Saccharomyces cerevisiae S288C: one gene and its partner. The gene in region 1 interacts genetically with each later gene. Each region holds a gene or a part of one and is shown on either strand. Other genes may lie near its edges.

Evidence for each region. Genes that interact genetically often act in the same process or in processes that back each other up.
Region 2: of LRG1 (region 1) and ROM1, a mutation in one rescues a mutant of the other (synthetic rescue), as found in Saccharomyces cerevisiae (2 studies listed by BioGRID).

Annotation. Positions count from the first base shown.
Region 1 is NC_001136.10:19,890-28,787, forward strand, and holds LRG1 (GTPase-activating protein LRG1), read left to right. Parts: upstream 1-2,933; coding exon 2,934-5,987; downstream 5,988-8,898. Other genes in the region: YDL241W (uncharacterized protein), read left to right, coding at 746-1,117; ADY3 (Ady3p), read right to left, coding at 6,514-8,886. UniProt on the Saccharomyces cerevisiae protein: Acts in signal transduction. Activates CDC42, RHO1 and RHO2. Negatively regulates 1,3-beta-glucan synthesis. May be responsible for the down-regulation of CDC42 during mating.
Region 2 is NC_001139.9:623,781-633,180, reverse strand, and holds ROM1 (Rho family guanine nucleotide exchange factor ROM1), read right to left. Parts: upstream 5,376-9,400; coding exon 1,908-5,375; downstream 1-1,907. Other genes in the region: ENV11 (Env11p), read left to right, coding at 1-1,700; ART5 (Art5p), read left to right, coding at 6,097-7,857; YGR067C (uncharacterized protein), read left to right, coding at 8,395-9,400. UniProt on the Saccharomyces cerevisiae protein: Stimulates the exchange of RHO1 GDP-bound form into GTP-bound form.

The sequences.
Region 1 (8,898 bases):
TCTCCTTCTCGAACAGTAACTTCAGATTGAAAGACGTGAGGATGCTTTAGAATGCACATTAAAATTAATATACTACTGGCCTCTTGTGTTTGTCATTGGCTTCTATTTTCAATAAAACATCCAGACAACCCTGCTGTTAATTTTGGAAAAAAAATTTCGCCGATTCTAATCATGTGACTCCTTTTCCCCAGGCAATACCGGAGAAAGCGTTCTATCTCAAACTATATAATTTGCGCTGCTCGTCTCCAAGCCCATGCTAGTGTTTACTTTCGGTTGTAAAAGGTAACTAGAAGTTTTAACGCAAGCATTGTATTATATTTTCCCACAATTGCTCTTAAGGACCTTTTTTTTTCTTGCGTGATCCTGCACTATTGAAAAGTCTTTATCAAAAATAGATGAAACTTTTTCAGGGTTCAACATTTAGAGGCTTTTCTCATATTCTTTACTCAGTTGCCTGCGAAGACCCTTCTGCCCGCTGCGCATTTTCTTAGAAAATCAAAAAAATTGCCTTTTCATCTTTTACCTTCCGAGTTGAATATGTTGACTATTTGCAAACAGGCGTATGATTGTCGTATATAACAGGGCACTTTCGGCAGTGAATCAATAGGAGGCGTATAAGAAAAGCCAATTAGTACCTATATATATATATATATATATATATATATATATATATTCCTTTATTATAATTCCTATCAGCGATTTTTGCATCACACCCAAGAAAAATCTATAATAGAGACACAAAAAAATGAACGTAACTGAAAATGCTCTATTGTTTAAGTGCGGTAGCAAGGGCTATATTAATCAAACCTATACGCCGACAGAAATTTATAATTGTGGGGTAGCTGAAGGAAAGAAAACTGCTAAAGAAAAGAACCCAACTTATTCAATTTTTTATGATACATTTCTCACTGGGCAGCCTGCTGAAAGTCCTGAAACGTTTACGTGTGGTTCGCATGGCTTCACAAATGCGAGTTATGTGGCAAGCGACTTTTATGCATGTGGTTTTCTGCAAGGGAAAGGTACAGAAACCAATGCGGGAATACATAATACAAGGCCTTCTCATTCTCTCGCCAAATTTACCATACTGTTCATGCTAGTGTTGTATACAATTGTCTAATTCTCAAGGTATGACACTTTGGATTGGTGGTCGCAGTAGCCACCATATAATTTTTTATCGTTTCTACATATAATACGAGACAGTCAGACAGAACTTTGGGTCGCCTGAGAAGAAAGACTATAAAAATGTAACCCGTCAGTAGGACTCATCTTAAAACAGTGGGTAATTTACTAAGGAGGCTGGAAAAACTGCGATAATCGGCTTATAGTACATATATATAGAATAATCATTAATCGAGCCTTTACCGCGAAATTCATGGATTTCTCAAAAACAAAGGTGCAATTACATGTTAAGCACCGAATTTCTATGCGAAACAGGTCCGTCTCATCAGTCATAGCTTTCCAAGTATATAAAACTTGAACGCAAAAGTGCGTCATCGACGCCTTTTTTTGCGCAAGGATTGTTACTATTCATTTAATGAACTCTGATGTCTTAATAAGCCAATGGTATCCATAAGTGAAGGTGAAGTCTACTGTGTTACATTAGCAAGTCAGAACTCCTATACGATACAGTATACTGCATTATGGGCACTAAAATAATTTAGATTATAGAAAATATCGATACTATGCTTCCACTTCTCACGAAGCGGCCATGTTTTAAATGAAGTACGTTAACGCTAACACAAGGCTTGACAACTTTCATGAGCGTCAAATAGTCTACGTGTGGGCTCACTTTTTCAGATTTCTTCTTGGCTTTTGTGAGATGTATAATTAACAATAATCATAAAATCGCTACATAAAACAAAGCATAAAAAATTACAGATTTCCTGTTCAAAAATCAAATCGGTCCAGTTCAGCTATTGTTCTGCCGTTGTTCATGCTCAGAAAATTGGACCATGGTGTCATCTAACTTTAGTTGGTCCCATTAAGCTCTCTTCTGTATATCATGTTTGCCATATTGTCATATCATCTGCTTAGTATTAAACCGTTGTGGAAAACAAGAAAATTGCGAATTACTAGTATAGAAAATGCATTCTAAGTCGCCTGTGATTCCAATAGCAAAGAAATTGATCTTAATGGAAGTAGGAAATAGCTGTGGCAAAGAGACAGGATACTAAGATTGGTTTAAGGCGAGGTCATACTTAGCTATTTCCTTCACCAACATTGGTTTTCGAACAGTCAAGAGATGAAAACGCAAAAAAGTGCACTATAAAGTAAATACTCAAACGTTCCCAAAACAAAACGAGAAGAAGCGATAGGCACCTCAAAACTGAAATTATGGGCAAACAATATAACCCGTAAAAGATCACTTTACGACCAGAACATAATCAACATGGGTGGCCCCCATGTTGTACTCAGTTAGCTTTTTGAGCTAGCAAATATATCAAGAAGCCCGCATGTGCTACTTACGTTTGAATTACTTCTCGTTGTAACGCACTTTTCTACAACGTACCTCACTAGTAAATATAACTTAATGCTTGCAGGTTAGCCCATCGCTACAACACCTCCCCACAAAGTATTTACTTCAAGAAATCGATCTTGGCGAGTATATCCTTATCTTTATGTAAGTATCTTTTTCGTCTTCAAAGTATGCCGGGTATTGATGGGCACGGAAGATGTAAACAAAATGGAAAACAAATAAGAACAGAATCTGAAACGTCATTTGAGAATTTAAAATATGTAAATCATTCCTCTCGAGCCAACCAAGGCTGTTCTTGCTAGAAACCAGCAATTGGGCTTCTCATTCAAAACAGTATCCGTCTTTGCCTTAACATTGTTATTTGGCCTTTATCCCAGATATACGCAACCGTATTTATTCAAATCCAAAGAAAAAAAGAGCAGACAAATTATCAAACAACAAGTACCGGAGGTGAGCAATGATTCAAAATTCTGCTGGTTATCGATCGCTGAATACTGCATCTCCGATGACCGTGCAGGTGAAGAATCAGAAGAAAATATGCGCCCGTTGTAACAAGTTAGTTATACCCGATAGCCAACGAACTAAAACAACTTTAAAGGCTCTCGGTAAATATTATCATGAAAGTTGTTTTACCTGCCAAGACTGTCAGAAACCTTTAAAACCGAAGTACTTCCCATATCAAGTAGACAAGACAAGTGAATCTATATTGTTATGCCAATACGATTATTTTAGAAGACATAATTTGTTATGTCATGTATGTGATACCCCATTGCGTGGATTATATTATACCGCATTCGGTTACAGATACGACGAAGAGCATTTTTCTTGTACAATATGTGCTACTCCTTGTGGGGTTAAAAAATGCTTCATGTACGGAAACCAATTGTATTGCAAGTACCACTTTCTCAAGTATTTTTCGAAACGTTGCAAAGGGTGCGAGTTCCCAATATCGGATCAATATATCGAGTTTCCTAAAGGTGAAGAAATACATTGTTGGCATCCGGAATGTTATGGAATTCATAAATATTGGCATGTAAATTTAGCAGCAGAAACTGTTGGTTTGCAGTACCTTCCCAAGCTGGAATATAACCCAAATTCCGGAGACAAAGATATAAACCCAACTGCCTACGAGTTAGATAAACAAATGCAGGCGTTTAACTTTATTCTATCTAAAACGTGGTCGGTTTTATATCGTTTTGAGGAAGAGGCAGCTTCTTGCATTTCTGATATGTTTCAATATTTGACAAGCAATGATCAGTTAAAGGGCATAGAGTCTACGGGTCTGTTGGTACTAAAAATCGACTGTCTTTTCCGGGGACTGGATACTTTAAACCTCTCGACGAACAAAAGTATGCCAGTTAACAGTGATCAAGAATGCATTGAAAACAACGCAATGGCGGCCAGTAAATACAGCAAGTTTCCCAAAAATCTGTCCACAAAAATTATGATATATTTACAACTCTTAAGAAAGTTAGGGACAGAAAACAAAAACGAAACTATCACAATTTCATCTTTTATGTCTGTTATTACTGGATTAGCCCATTTTCTAAAACTGTTAACAAGATTTGGGCTATATACGGCTCTAGAAAACAATAAGTTGACTCATTCTGTTAATCCATTGTTGAGGTTTTTAAGAGAAGTAGAGAAAAATGAGCTTTTTGAAAATAACCCGTTTCAGTATATAAAGACTCCTGTTAACGCCACAGATAGTTGCGCTGGATGCAATAAATACATACAGGAGGAATGCATTCAATTTTATGAGCACCGGTGGCATATTGCTTGTTTTACTTGTTCTTCATGCCATAAGAATATAAATCCGAGGAGTTTGACGGATCCCACCTTTAATAAAGAGAAAAAAAAGATACTATGTTCTCACTGCTCAATTGATGATCCGGCCTCTGTGCCGGGTTTCAAATTTGTTACTAAGCTAGCACAACTAATTTTTCTTCTAAAAATTGCCCTAGTCAAATCAAGAACTGTAATGTTGAAATCGAAAGCATCTAACAAGGTAGGCAGAAACTCTTTACAGAGTACTATGCTAAAGGAACAAACTTACATTAGGACACTGAATGATATTAAAAGATTGAGATCTAGAAGAGAAAGTGTTCGGGTCACTCATAACAAACAACAAGCTAGAAAATCAGTGATACTGGAAACTGCAGAGACAGATTTAAATGACCCGACAAAACAAGGAGATAGTAAAAATCTTGTGATTCAAACAGATGACCCATCATCGAGCCAACAAGTGAGCACACGTGAAAATGTTTTCAGTAATACTAAGACGTTGACACTAGATGATATTTCACGTATTGTTGCCGCTGAACAAGCAAGGGAGCTAAGACCTAACGCTTTTGCACACTTTAAAAAACTAAAAGAAACCGATGACGAAACTTCGAATGTTGTTCCCAAGAAAAGCGGAGTTTATTACTCTGAATTAAGTACGATGGAACTCTCGATGATAAGGGCTATCAGTTTGTCACTGCTAGCTGGTAAACAACTGATATCGAAGACTGATCCTAACTATACTAGCTTAGTCTCAATGGTCTTCTCGAATGAAAAGCAAGTCACAGGTAGCTTTTGGAACAGAATGAAAATCATGATGAGCATGGAGCCTAAAAAGCCCATCACTAAGACTGTTTTTGGTGCTCCTTTAGATGTGTTGTGCGAGAAATGGGGTGTTGATTCCGATTTAGGTGTGGGGCCAGTGAAGATTAGGATCCCCATAATTATTGACGAGCTAATATCATCTTTGAGGCAAATGGATATGTCAGTAGAAGGTATTTTCAGGAAAAATGGAAATATCAGAAGACTGAGAGAACTAACTGCTAACATCGACAGTAATCCAACAGAAGCTCCAGACTTCTCGAAAGAAAATGCAATCCAATTATCTGCTCTTTTGAAGAAATTTATCAGAGAGCTTCCCCAACCGATTTTATCGACAGACTTATATGAACTATGGATTAAGGCCGCGAAAATTGATTTAGAGGATGAGAAACAGCGTGTTATATTGCTAATATATTCCTTATTACCCACTTACAATCGCAATTTACTGGAGGCACTTTTGTCATTTTTGCATTGGACGTCCTCATTCTCTTACATTGAGAATGAAATGGGATCAAAAATGGACATTCACAATTTATCCACAGTCATAACACCTAATATTTTATATTTGCGACATAAAGAAATTTCCAATGATAACGTCCCTGACGAACCAGAATCAGGTTTAGTTGATTCATTCGCTCAAAACAAGGGAGAAAATTACTTTTTGGCTATTGAGATAGTTGATTACCTGATTACTCACAATGAAGAAATGGCAATGGTTCCGAAATTTTTAATGAATCTTTTAAAAGATGTGCAGTTACAAAAATTAGATAACTACGAATCAATCAACCATTTTATTTCCACCGTTATGCAAAGTAAAACAATCGATTATTCCGAATGTGACATAAAAACTCCTGTCACAGTCAAAGATTCGACCACAACGGTCATACAAGGTGAAATAAACAAATAATAGGCAGAAACTGTAAGTTTCCCCTCATTTTCCTTTTTTTCTTCTCCTTCCCCTCAGATTTCGAGGTTTGTCGTTCTTATTAGAGTTCTTTGCTTTTTTCTTTGCCTATTTCAATAAAATCTTACCAGTATGCTATGGAAATGGACATTATTTTATTATTATACAACATAGTATATTCTGACTAAAATGGAATTAGAAATTGTAACATTAGTATGTACTTATAATCATTTGTATCATTGTATTACTCGCCTTTTGATGTAAATTTTGTTTATATCTCAGAACATCTCCAACAGCAGATCAGAAGTTACATTGTTCTTGTAAGTGCTTAAGAAGTCTGTTAGCAAATTGAAATCTTTCAGAAGAATATTCCACCAAAATTTCGGAAAAGCAATACCAGCGGTAAAATATCTGCCATGCTCTATATTATGTGACTTTATTTTAGGTGCACCCCCCACCAGTAACTTATTCTCTAAATAATAATTAATGACACCATTGAATATATTAGTTCTAAATAAAAAAAAAAAAGCTAAGAAAAGAAATATTTAAACAACGCTTGCAAATCATACTCAAGAGGATGCTTTACTTCAGCAATATCATGATTGTTCAAAAACTCATTCATTGCGACCTTTCTTCTACTTTTGAAATCTAACTGTTTACCAAAAACCTTAAGGTTCAAATCATTAGCAAATTTTGTGAGAAGTGTAAGCTCACATCTAAGTTGAATGACAATTGTTGGTACAATTTTTAAGAAGGTTTTTAATGGGATATCCAACACAATTAATAAATTTTTGATTAGATTTTGCGATTGCACATAGGTAAGGTCTGTCAGAATATCAAGACCCAAGGAGTCGTACTTTTCCTTCGTTATATGTGGAAAAGATTTTCCAACAGTTTCAAAATTAAGTTCGGTAGAAGGATCACCATATAGTTTTTTTAAATTCAGCTTCTCTTGGAATACATCTTCTTTTAGTGATAGAATTGTTTCTTCGAGTTTTAATATTTCACTTTGTTTTCCAGCTAACTCGTCAGTAATTTTCTTATGTGTGTTTTCTGACTCTTGAATTTGAGTGCTCCATCTTGAAGCAATCAAAGCCTGATTCTGAAGTTTCTCAACAATTTCCTGGTGTTCATTCATGTAATCGTTCAATTTATCTTCGGCATTTTTCTGAATTTTTTCACTTAGTATTAATTTTTCTTTTAACTCGCTCTTCAGTTTTTGAAAGTTTTCTTCCTTGAGGTTCAGGATATCATGCCATCTCCTTTTTTCCAAACGAAATTGTTGTTCTTTTGTTAACGCCTCTTTTTGAAGATATTTTATTTTGTGACTGTGCTGCTGTTGCATAAAATGTAATCTTTCATTAATCAATTTAAAGACAGAAATGATTTTTTCAAGACGTATACGGTCATTCTTTTCCAAAAGTTCTATCTTTCCTTTTAATTGTTTGTATTGCTCCATATTTTCAAGATTTTTGATATCTTGAAAATCCGGATAAAGCTTGGCAAAACCGTTTTGAAACATCGAAGGGGAATGGCCACATTTCATTTCTTCTAGTATGAATTTACCAAGGTCTTTCTCAAAAAGAGAAAGATTTTGCATATAGCTGTAAACATCATTTAACCTTTTCTCGTAAAACGAACCATTATCATGTAATTTTTTATTTTCATCTTGAGAAAGTTGCAAATTGCTTTTCAGTATTTCAACTTCAGATCTTAATTTTACTATAGAGTTATTCGATTCGTTAATATCTTTTAGAAATTTATCATTTTCTTGCTGCAAGTTTAGGATTTGTTTTTGCTTCCTGTATAGTTCCGAAACTAAAATATTTCTTTGAGAAAAAGCTTTACATTTAGTTTTGGCACTAGTCACTTCATTCTTCTCCTTCTTGCTAGCGTTTTTGTTTTGAAAGTCTGTAATTTTTTCTTCTCTAATTTTTTTAATTTCTTTGCGAAACCGGTCCTGAACAATGTTGAGCCTTTTTGATGCAGCTTTTCTTTCGTTGTGGAATTCCTTCTGCAAGTCTTCTATTCTTTGAAGTTTAGCATCATTCATGCTATTAAGTTCTTCTAGTTCTTGAATCCTGTCATCCTTCTCTTCTAGTTTTTGTCTTAGTGCTTTGATCTCTTCATTTTGGGACTGGAGCTCATCTAATACCTTGGGTAAACTATTTTCTTTAGAAATACTTCCTCCATATGATGAAGAAGATAGCCTAATTTCTCCTAATTTCATATATTCGGACTGTTCTTCATCTGGAGTTTTAGATGAGCGAAATACGTTCTCTAGATGCGCAACCTCTATATTCTCCTCCAGACTCTCATTGCTTACAACATAATGCTCATCATTTGAGATTGCTGCGACTTTGTGGGGATTCGTGAGGAGCTTTGTAGGTGTAGAAGAAAATCTATTCACTTCAATACTATTGTGTACTTTGTATGTGGTAAATTTACCAGGGCTTACATTTCCTAATGTACTGGGCTTTCCTGCAGGTGACAGAGCCTGCGAGCCTATTCCTACAGTTGGTAAACCACCCCTTTGTAGAAATTTATTAGGCGATTTTAAAGTATTTTTTTCCGTAGCATTTTCCAATGTACTAATGTTACCAGAAGGTGAAGAGGCTTCTGAACCTGCCCAACTCTCTGAGCGGTTTCTTCGGGAACGCCTATTCGACAGTTTTGATATAATATCAGAAGAAATACTTTCCTGCACATTAGATTTTTCAGTGGACGTAGGTACTTCAGAGTCTATCCAAGTTTGTGAACGCCGCTCTCGAAAAGGTTTACTTTCTGGAGACTTAGTTAAAGTGCCATCAGTAACATGTCTCATCTCCCCCTGCTGGTCGCAATCCGAGTTTTGTTCCTTTAGGGATTCAGGCTTATTCAAAAATGCTAACCAATGATTCATATTCGGAGAAGT
Region 2 (9,400 bases), on another chromosome or scaffold:
ATCTTATTTCTGTAAATTTTACAGAACTGGCTGGAAAAAGATCATTATTTTCTTTGCAACTGTTCGATAATACCAACAAAGTTTCGAAGGGTTTACCATTATCTATTTTTGTACGTAAAACAACGGATATAGATATTAGTGTCTGGCAGGAACAGCTCAACAATTTGTATTCGAAATACCCTGGCTTACAAAAATCGGTGATTTCTATAACTTTGCCTCAAAGCCATTATACAATGGTACTAGAGAATAGAAACAGTCATAATTTTACTTTCCATAGCGGGAGTGTGAGGGAGATAAAGTACCATACTTGCATAGTATCTGAATTACTTCATTGTTTTTTACAGCCGTTGTTTAATGTTCCTACTGAATCAATGCTGTCTTCCTTTTCTGTGGCCAAAGAAAATCATTCAGGAGGCTCTTTGTTAGACTCATTAATAGATTTTTCCCATATTGATTTATCATCTACTATTCTCGGCAAAATATGCTGTTTGATAGAAGAAGTTAACTTAAACGACTCCCTAAAATCGGATTTCCTATTATACTGCCAAAATTATACACAACCTAACTGCAATGAACTTACTTCAATCCTTTCCTGTAACTGCGATAGATTTTCAGCTTTGAAGAGTATCTTAGAAAAATTTGCAAACTTAGTTCCTTTCTTCAAGTCTATCAACTCTCATTTAGAAAATGAATCACTTAGTGAATCCGATTTTCGTCTAATAAACACGGTAGAAGAGACGTTAAGAACTTTCGAGCAATCAATTGAGTACTTTGCTTCTTCCGCTCCATTGAAATTTACCCATACCTTGGTTTTTATCATTAAGTTTGAGTTATATTTGACAGAGATTATACGAAGCTTCAAATTCACCAAATCTAAAAAGCCCTTTGAAAAAATCCTAGCAAGGCTTCTAAAAGTTAAAGACCTTTATTTACTTGATGATGTAAACTTGATTGGTGCTTTCCTGTATCCATCAATCTTCCAAAGTAAAAGCCTTCTAAATGAAATCTTTGGCACAACATCGGTAAATAAAATAGTTCATAACATGACCAAAATTGTTCTAAGGTATCTTAAAAACTTTATCAATATAACTAATTTTCGTTCCTCTAATAGTGGTGGGGAGAGCGGTCGGAATTCCGGTAATAATCTTCTTTCTGACTACGAGGCCATTTTTATGAAAGAATCACGGGACGTAGAGCTTTTATGTAACACCAAGTTAACCGCACCACTAACAGAAGATTCATTACTTGTCCAAATCATTCGGGATGATCTATTACGCTATGTCAACAGAATTGCGCATGAGCTGCCTAATGCATACCATGACTACTTAAATGATAATGATATTAGCTTCGATGGATCTCACTTTACAAAACATGAGTTATCTGAGGAAAACGACTCTAACTCGGGGGAATGGTGCCTAAATCCCATGGAAGAGACATTTGATATTCATATTCCTATCTCGGATTCAATTTGGAATAATTACATAAGCAGTAAAAACAAGATTGAAGTAATCGATATTTTACTTCAGTTGCTTTCAGTAAATTCGACATCTTCAATACGGTCAGAATTATCTTCTCTAACAGCTAATCAAGACTTCAGTACCAAGTTGAGTGAGGAAACAATTAAAATCAAACTTTTGAATTCACAGTTTAATCTCGAAAAAATTAATTTTCACTCTGGATCAATTTTCGATGCTTGCTAGTGACATAATATTCCAAAGGAAAGGACAATATACTTTCAAGACTTTATTTTCTAGGACAAAATTCTTGTCCATTGTATTATATTTTCTTAATGGCACCCATATATTTCAGGTAAACTACATATGGTTATACAAATAAAATAATATTACTTAAATTTAGATGTATAGGTTCAAGAAATAAGTTTTAAGGTATTAATATGGGCGGTCAACTCAAAAATTTAACAGTTCGATAATTTCAAATCCTTGAGGATCCTCATAACAATATAAGATCTTCTTGGCATATGATTTTAACATACGTATCTTGTTTCCAAGTACACAGCGGACAAGTTCTCCATTTTCTATATGTCTAATTTCAATAAAGTTACTATTAATTGCCACAATATAAGGGTAGGAACACGCGAACTGTTCTGGTTCCCCCTCCCAATGAAAACATCCCTTTGTCTCCTCCCTCTTCCCTTGCTTATTGAGAAAAAAGCAGAGTTCTGGAAAACATGCAAAAGTTGAATTTTTTATCGGAAACATGGAAACTACTTTGAACGTCTCTTTATACATGTTCGCTAAAACTTTGTTATCATGTAGATTTAAAAGCTCCCTCATTTTAAATCCATTTTTATCACACACTTCCGGTACGTTTAATATTTTGATATTTTTTTTACAACCAATGCAGATCTTATTCTCCAAAAAAGAAAAGGACAGAGGTTCAGAATCAACGCTAAAATCTACCAAGCCTGCCTTTAGGTTTTTTTTAAAATTACCGCTATTAAAATCAAATATCAAAGGATTAACAATCAATAATTGTACGGCGTGCAAAAAATGATGTGCAATCATAATGATTCTTTTACCATTACAGAAACCGTCTTTGAACATTGCAACATATTTAAATAACACTTTAGAATTTTTTCTGAAAAGAAAATCTGCATTTTCTGCATCGTCGATTACGTCTAAAGGACAGCCGTACAGTTTTTTGTCAATTAGAAGAATCATAACTTTATATTCTTCCAATACAGAGATCTGTGAAATTGATATTTTGTGCAGAAGGTGCACTGGTTTTTGATTGATCGATGTAGCATAATTAAGAACAAAGAGTCCCATATTTGTTGCAACCAATAAAATTTTACCAGCATGACAGATTAGGACATCGTTGACGCGATTAGTATTTATGTATGAGTGAAAGAATTGACCTACCATTTGCTTAAAAGTAATATGTTTAGTTTCATCAAGGAGCCTTTTTTGCTCTTGTTTCACCTTTTCTATTAATGTCTGTAATCCGGCCGGCTGCGGCGCGTACAAAGTAACTTGATATTGTTGTTTCGTACCGTAATAGGCGAATACAATAGCATTCTTGGGATTGCTCGTTTGATATTGGGGTAAGAGCACACCCGCTGAGCAATTTGGGTTTTCTGTCACATATCTTTTTATGGGTGGCATATCCTCAGCCGGACAAATAAACAGTAAAGGGAGTGGAATTGGTCTCTGAAATACAGTGTGTTGGTGCCACTTGTTTACAGCTTTTGATTTCAAGAATAATAGCATATTGTCGAGTAGGTAAAATTGAATGTCTCCTGAAAAGGACGCATCTGTTTTGTTCACGTCCTTCCTTGAGAGTAAACCTTCATGCTTGATTTTCCTTTTTTCGTTATTCAAACCCAGATTAACGTATTCATTTTTGAATAGAATTTTCTGCTTTAACACTTTAACGTCATAACGATCTTGTGCTGCACCGCTTGCTCTATCAATCCTTTTCATTAGATCCTTTAAAAGATCTTGGACTTTCATTAGCATTTGTAGATCATCTTTGTCTGTTACTGGGTCCGAGAAGTGTATTATTTCTCTTACCAACAGTGAATATCTACCAGGTCTTGAAACACCCTGAGATAGGAATGAATCGATCCCATGCCTCAGGGAAGAATTAGACACTTCATCGTCAAAACGAGCAAAATTGGGATTAACTGATCTTTGGGTTTCAATTAGATACTTTGCGTATGGTCTTGATGCTATGTATGACAGAAAAGGATCAAAGAAAGGAAGATACTGCAAAAATATATCTGCAATTCCAGGACAAATTGGGCTTAATGATTGCCTTTGTGCTAAAGCCTTCAAAAATTCTCTATTGACAGAATATATTTCATTGATATGTGCGAAAACGTGCTTTACAAAATTTATCCTTACATCAGATGGAATAATATTCGTTTCTAATAATTTCTTCATGAAAGTATCTCGGATGATTTCCAAAGATTTTACAAACTTCTTTTCTGTAGTAAACAACTCATATATTGCCTCCTGCCTTTTGATTTGTTGTTTGGATAATGATTCCCATACGCTCTTTGGTACAGAATTTGTCCAGGAAATTCGTTCATCATCCTCCTTATCGAGTGCTAACGAAATATTTCTCTTAAGACCACCACCTAATTTTAAATGTAAATTAGCCTGTTGTTGCAAACGATTGGGGCAAGAAATAGAGTAGCAAAGTTTTTCCAGAGAGCATGTAGAGGAATAACAATGTGTCAATGGGACAAAAACACCATATATTTCAGTTTTAGTACGGAGCGAATTAACTGAAGAAGATGATGAAGAAAATGTGTTGGCAATTGAAGTAGAACTCTGCGACTGATGTGCCATAAAAATTGATTCTGAAGATAACTCGTAAATCTCCAGTACAGAATCTCTTACGCCATGGTCATAAAGTACGTCATGGAACAATTTTTGAGCTTCCAGCGATTTTCCGATCAACATGCCCAAATTACGATCTAAGCTTCCTATGATCAAGCATAAAGTATCAATTGCTTGTTTTCCTGTAAAGGAATCTCTGTAAAGTAACCCCATCTTTTTATGCGTGCTCAATTTGATGGTCTGTTTGAATTTAATTGCTATTAGTGATAAAAGTGCAGGATAAACCAAAGGCGTGCCTTTGATCATGGATATTTCCGTCAGAGAGACAGGACTTGATTTGGACCTTGAATGATGACGTTGGTGTTGATTAGTATGGCGTCGATATTGACTAGAATGATTGGAAGAGTTTGATGAGCGTCTATTTTGGGTTTTCAGTGACTCTAATGCAAATAAAGAAGAGGTGCTAGAAGAACTATGTTTTCCATTGAATGAACTGTGTAACTCCATCGTGTGACCTGCACTTTTGGGAGTTGGAGGCGTAGATAGCTGGTTTGGATCCCCCATATGACTGCCACTGTTTTTGGAAAATGATAATAGTGAAGGAGATGAATGTTTTCTTACGTGAGGAAGCAAAACATTCGATCTTTTTTGAGAAGGTGATGAAGTGGTAGTGCAACTGTTACCTTTATCTTGTCTGGTCGAATCATTTATTGAAATTTTTTTATTAGTAGGTGAAATCTGATCGCCTGTGAAGGATTGTGGACTTGAATTAAGGTTTGTTGAAATATGTAGGACAGGAGATGCCTTTAATTGGTGGGAAGAACAGTCCGGTGCTATCCTATACCGTGCACCGGTGTCGTGCCCTAGTGTATAATCCTTCAATGAAGCCTTATTTTCATCTTCAGTACTATCTTCATCCTCATCGTTAGTGATAGAAATTTCATTGATGTTTGTCTGAACTTTGGAGCCGGAGAACAACTGAGTAGGGGTTGAAGTATCTGATTTTCTTTTCTTACCGAATATCTCATAAAAATATTTATTTCTTAGATCCAGTTCATTACTATTCATAACCTAACCAAATTCTTACCAACGACTTGGTTTTATTTATATCATTACTAAATCAACAAAATTTTTGCTTTAAAATTCAAACGTGGCGTTCTTTTTTTTGATTTAGTTTTATTTATTTACTTTTTCATTCAAGAGCAAAGAAAAGTTTAAAATTAACGATTCTCCCTTGGGCCCCTTATGATATGTCTAAATATTGCCGTTTTAGGGCAAAAAAGATGAAGTGCGTTTACTTTCGTATAGAGTTTGTAGATATGACATTGGCAACAAAAAATCATGGGAAATTTAAGAAACATACAAACGTATGCGTGAAAAAAAAATCGACACTAGACGCACTAGGTGGTGCTTAATTGGAGTACTGGAGCGCTCCTTTAGATACAAGATGACAATTTATTGAAGATCGAGTAGGGGACGGATTACTCCCACATTAAACAGCAGGTCTTTCTTATTATAAGGAATACAAAAACAATTGAAGTAAAATGTTAGATCTAAAAATGTTTCTTTGTCTTGCTTTGTATGTATGTAATAATATACTCCTGAATACTTCACTTCGTCTTTTACAATTCTAAAAAGGCAGTTTCTTCGAAAACTGAAAAAAAAAAAAAAAAAAAAAAAAAAAAAAGAAATAGAAGGAAAATGAAACAGATGATTAGGATGAGTATAAGATGGCAAAAGTAAAAAATATCTTGTACAGCTCTCGGCGAGAATAGGGTGAAGCAAGACCATGTTTTCACTTAGTTCGCTATCTAGCAGCGGTGGGCATTCAGAGCAGAAGGAAAGAGAGAGAATAAGTTATTTTGATATTAGAATAAACTCCCCGTACAAGGACATAATTTTGATCCAAGGGTCACCGTTGGAACTGTCGTCTATACCTTTATCAGGAAACTTAGTGATTTCAGTGAAAAATGAGATCGTAGTGAAGAAAATTTCGCTGAGATTGGTAGGAAGATTCAAATTGGAGTTTTTGCAAGTTGGCCGATATAAGAAGAATAGCAGTAGTTTGGCAAGTCTAGTTAAGGAAAAGCGTAAGATTTTCGAATGCTATTGGGACAACTTATTGGTTTCTTCAAAAGGGGATGTTTTAGTCGGTGGGGAAAATGCGGAAAATCAACATAACAGTAGTAGCGGTCGCAGTACAAGCAACCAAGATATGGACACCAGCGGCAACGCAATATTTCTAAGCAAGAGATCACTTTCGAGCCCTGTTTTCAACAAAATAATTCGAAGAAAGACCCATTCTTCCCACAGAAAAATACTAGAGCTACCAGAAAATGGTGTTACAGGAACCCCTTTCGAGGGTTTAAGAGAAAACGCCCGTAGTAGAAGCAGTAGTAGTAACACCCTCAATAACAATAGCCATAGTTATAGTAACAGAGACGGGTCTGGAAGTTCGTACTTATTCCTAATGAAAAGAGGCAACTACGAACTACCCTTCAATACAATGCTCCCCCCAGAAGTGTGCGAAACAATCGAGGGACTACAAAGTGGTAGCATACTGTATTCCTTTGAAGCCATTATAGATGGACGTCAGTTATGGGATACTGATCTGAGCGTTCATACTTCTCCTCACGGTCCAATCGGTAGCACAAGTACGAGCGGCAATGGTATGAGAACGAAGAATAAAATTATCATCAAAAAGTTCAAGTATCTCAGAATCCTTCGTACATTATCGATGGACAATCTTGCCATGCAAGAAGAAATTAGCGTGGGTAATACTTGGCGTGACAAGTTGCAATACGAAACGTCCATCCCGAGTAGGGCTGTTCCTATTGGTAGCACAACCCCCGTGAAGATTAAGATTTTCCCCTTCGAAAAGAACATTCGTTTGGATAGGATAGAAATGGCGCTAATCCAATATTACGCAATGAAGGACAGCAGCGCACAAATTTATGATGATGAAATAGCCGTCATGAAAATTACTCATCTAGCGGACTTCGGCCCGCTGACGGACAAACTTGACGTCGATTGTCCCTTTACAATTCCAGATAACCTCAAACAAATAACTCAAGACTGCTGTCTGCAAGACAACCTAATCCGTGTCATGCACAAATTGCAGGTACGTATTCTTTTACAACGTCAAGTGGATGGCGAATACAAGAACCTGGAGATCAAGGCGCAATTACCTATGTTATTATTTATTTCGCCGCATCTGCCTATGAAAGGCCGTCTAGTGTTGTTTGATAAACACGATGGCAAGATCCACTTCCGCCCTGGCGAATTAGTACCCCTTTTTTTAACCACTTACCCCGCGCAGGGTCTGACTCCAGGCGTTGAACTGAACTCCACTACAACGGCGCACCTCGCGCTGCCACAACCGCCACCGAATTATCACGAGAGCACCAACGATCATCTCATGCCGGCGCTACAGCCGCTCGGCGCCGATTCGGTGGTACTGACAGTGCCGTCATACGAGCAGGCGCAGGCGCAGGCATCGGCATCGTCTTACGTGACAGGGTCCGTACCCGCTTACTGCGACGATGACTGATCCCCGCTCTCGGCGCCCCGAGTCGGCTACCCCGCGTTGGCAATCCCCTCCGATCGTCCGCGGCAAAATGGTCGTCAATCGGACAAAGGGGGATGATGGGATCTGGTAATAGAAGAAAATATGGACTAAAGGTAGCCGCTAAAGCGATCCAGGCATGTGTTGCCAATGATGTAAGTCAAGCGAAGGAAATGGTTCAGTAATATGATAGACAGACTGCACTTCAAGGGTGCGCCCCCTCCCCCGCGCATATGCTTACAACGCAAAATAATTGACGTTTAATGTGGATACTTATCGTAATCGCTGCATTATAGATTTCGAGTCATGTTCACTTAACCCCACATATTTATATAGAACGCATCTTCAAAGTACTTATAAAGTTTAGTTTTACATTTTTCTGCTTTCTATTTCTTCTTTTTCGGTTCTTCTTCATGCCAGTTGGCATGGCTTAAGAGCTTTACTTGTCGCTTTTATTTAAAACCTTCTCTCGGGAGAAGACAATTGTTGATATACAGTAATTGTATTTGCATTATCACTGCTATGGCTGCGGGTCAAAAAAAATATATATGTTCCTTTTGTTTGAAGCCTTTCTCGAGATCCGAGCACAAGATAAGGCATGAAAGGTCTCATGCGGGCGTGAAGCCTTTCCAGTGCCAAGTCTGTAAACACTCTTTTGTTAGACGCGATCTCTTACAGCGACACATCAGGACTGTCCACAGAACCTTCCTCTTATCCAGTTACGCGTCAATGACAGGCGATAAGGCTGATATCCCTGTATCACTTGGCGTTGGTGACGTTGATTCGACTTCACCCAGAGATATCAAAATGGAAACACTCGTTAATTCGATGATTAAGGTCAACAGCGGCCTTATCAATATTCACTATCATAGTAGTAATGTTGAAAAAATGGATAAGCAGCAACGTTGTGTGATTGGGAAGGAGTCCTCTAGTTTAAAGAAAGGGAAAAGCCGCTTTAAGCAGGTTAAAAGCCGGTTGGAGTCCTCCATCAGTGTAAAAATTTTGCAAGAATATTCATTAGATTTTATTAGCTCAAGAGATATTCTAACTTTCTTCAGAATGGGTGTAAGCCACTTGGTAGAAAATAAGATCTTCCAAAATTTCTTTCCAGACCTGTTCTCATCACTACAAAATGACGAGCTGGTGGAAAGTTTTTGGATTAACAAGCCTTTTGGTCTCATAATAGCTTGTCTGGGTATGTCCATTTCGTTAAATCAAGATTCTCAAAAACTATGGTTTATCTGTTGTACGAATTTGTATGCTAGCTCATCTAAACATGACAATGACTTTGACACTGAGGACATTTTGTCACAGACAGAGCAACATGATGTTTTTGCCTTGATTCTATTTTATTCTCTTCTAGTAATGTTGGAGAATAACATTCCTGTTTCTAATTCCATTAAAAAGTTCGATGTGTTTTCAATGCTTCAAGATATTCTGAAGCCATTCACCGTGGCATCCTCCAGTTACCATTATTTGAATAGTAAGGAAAATGCATGGTTCATATTCGATCTATGGGTCAATATCT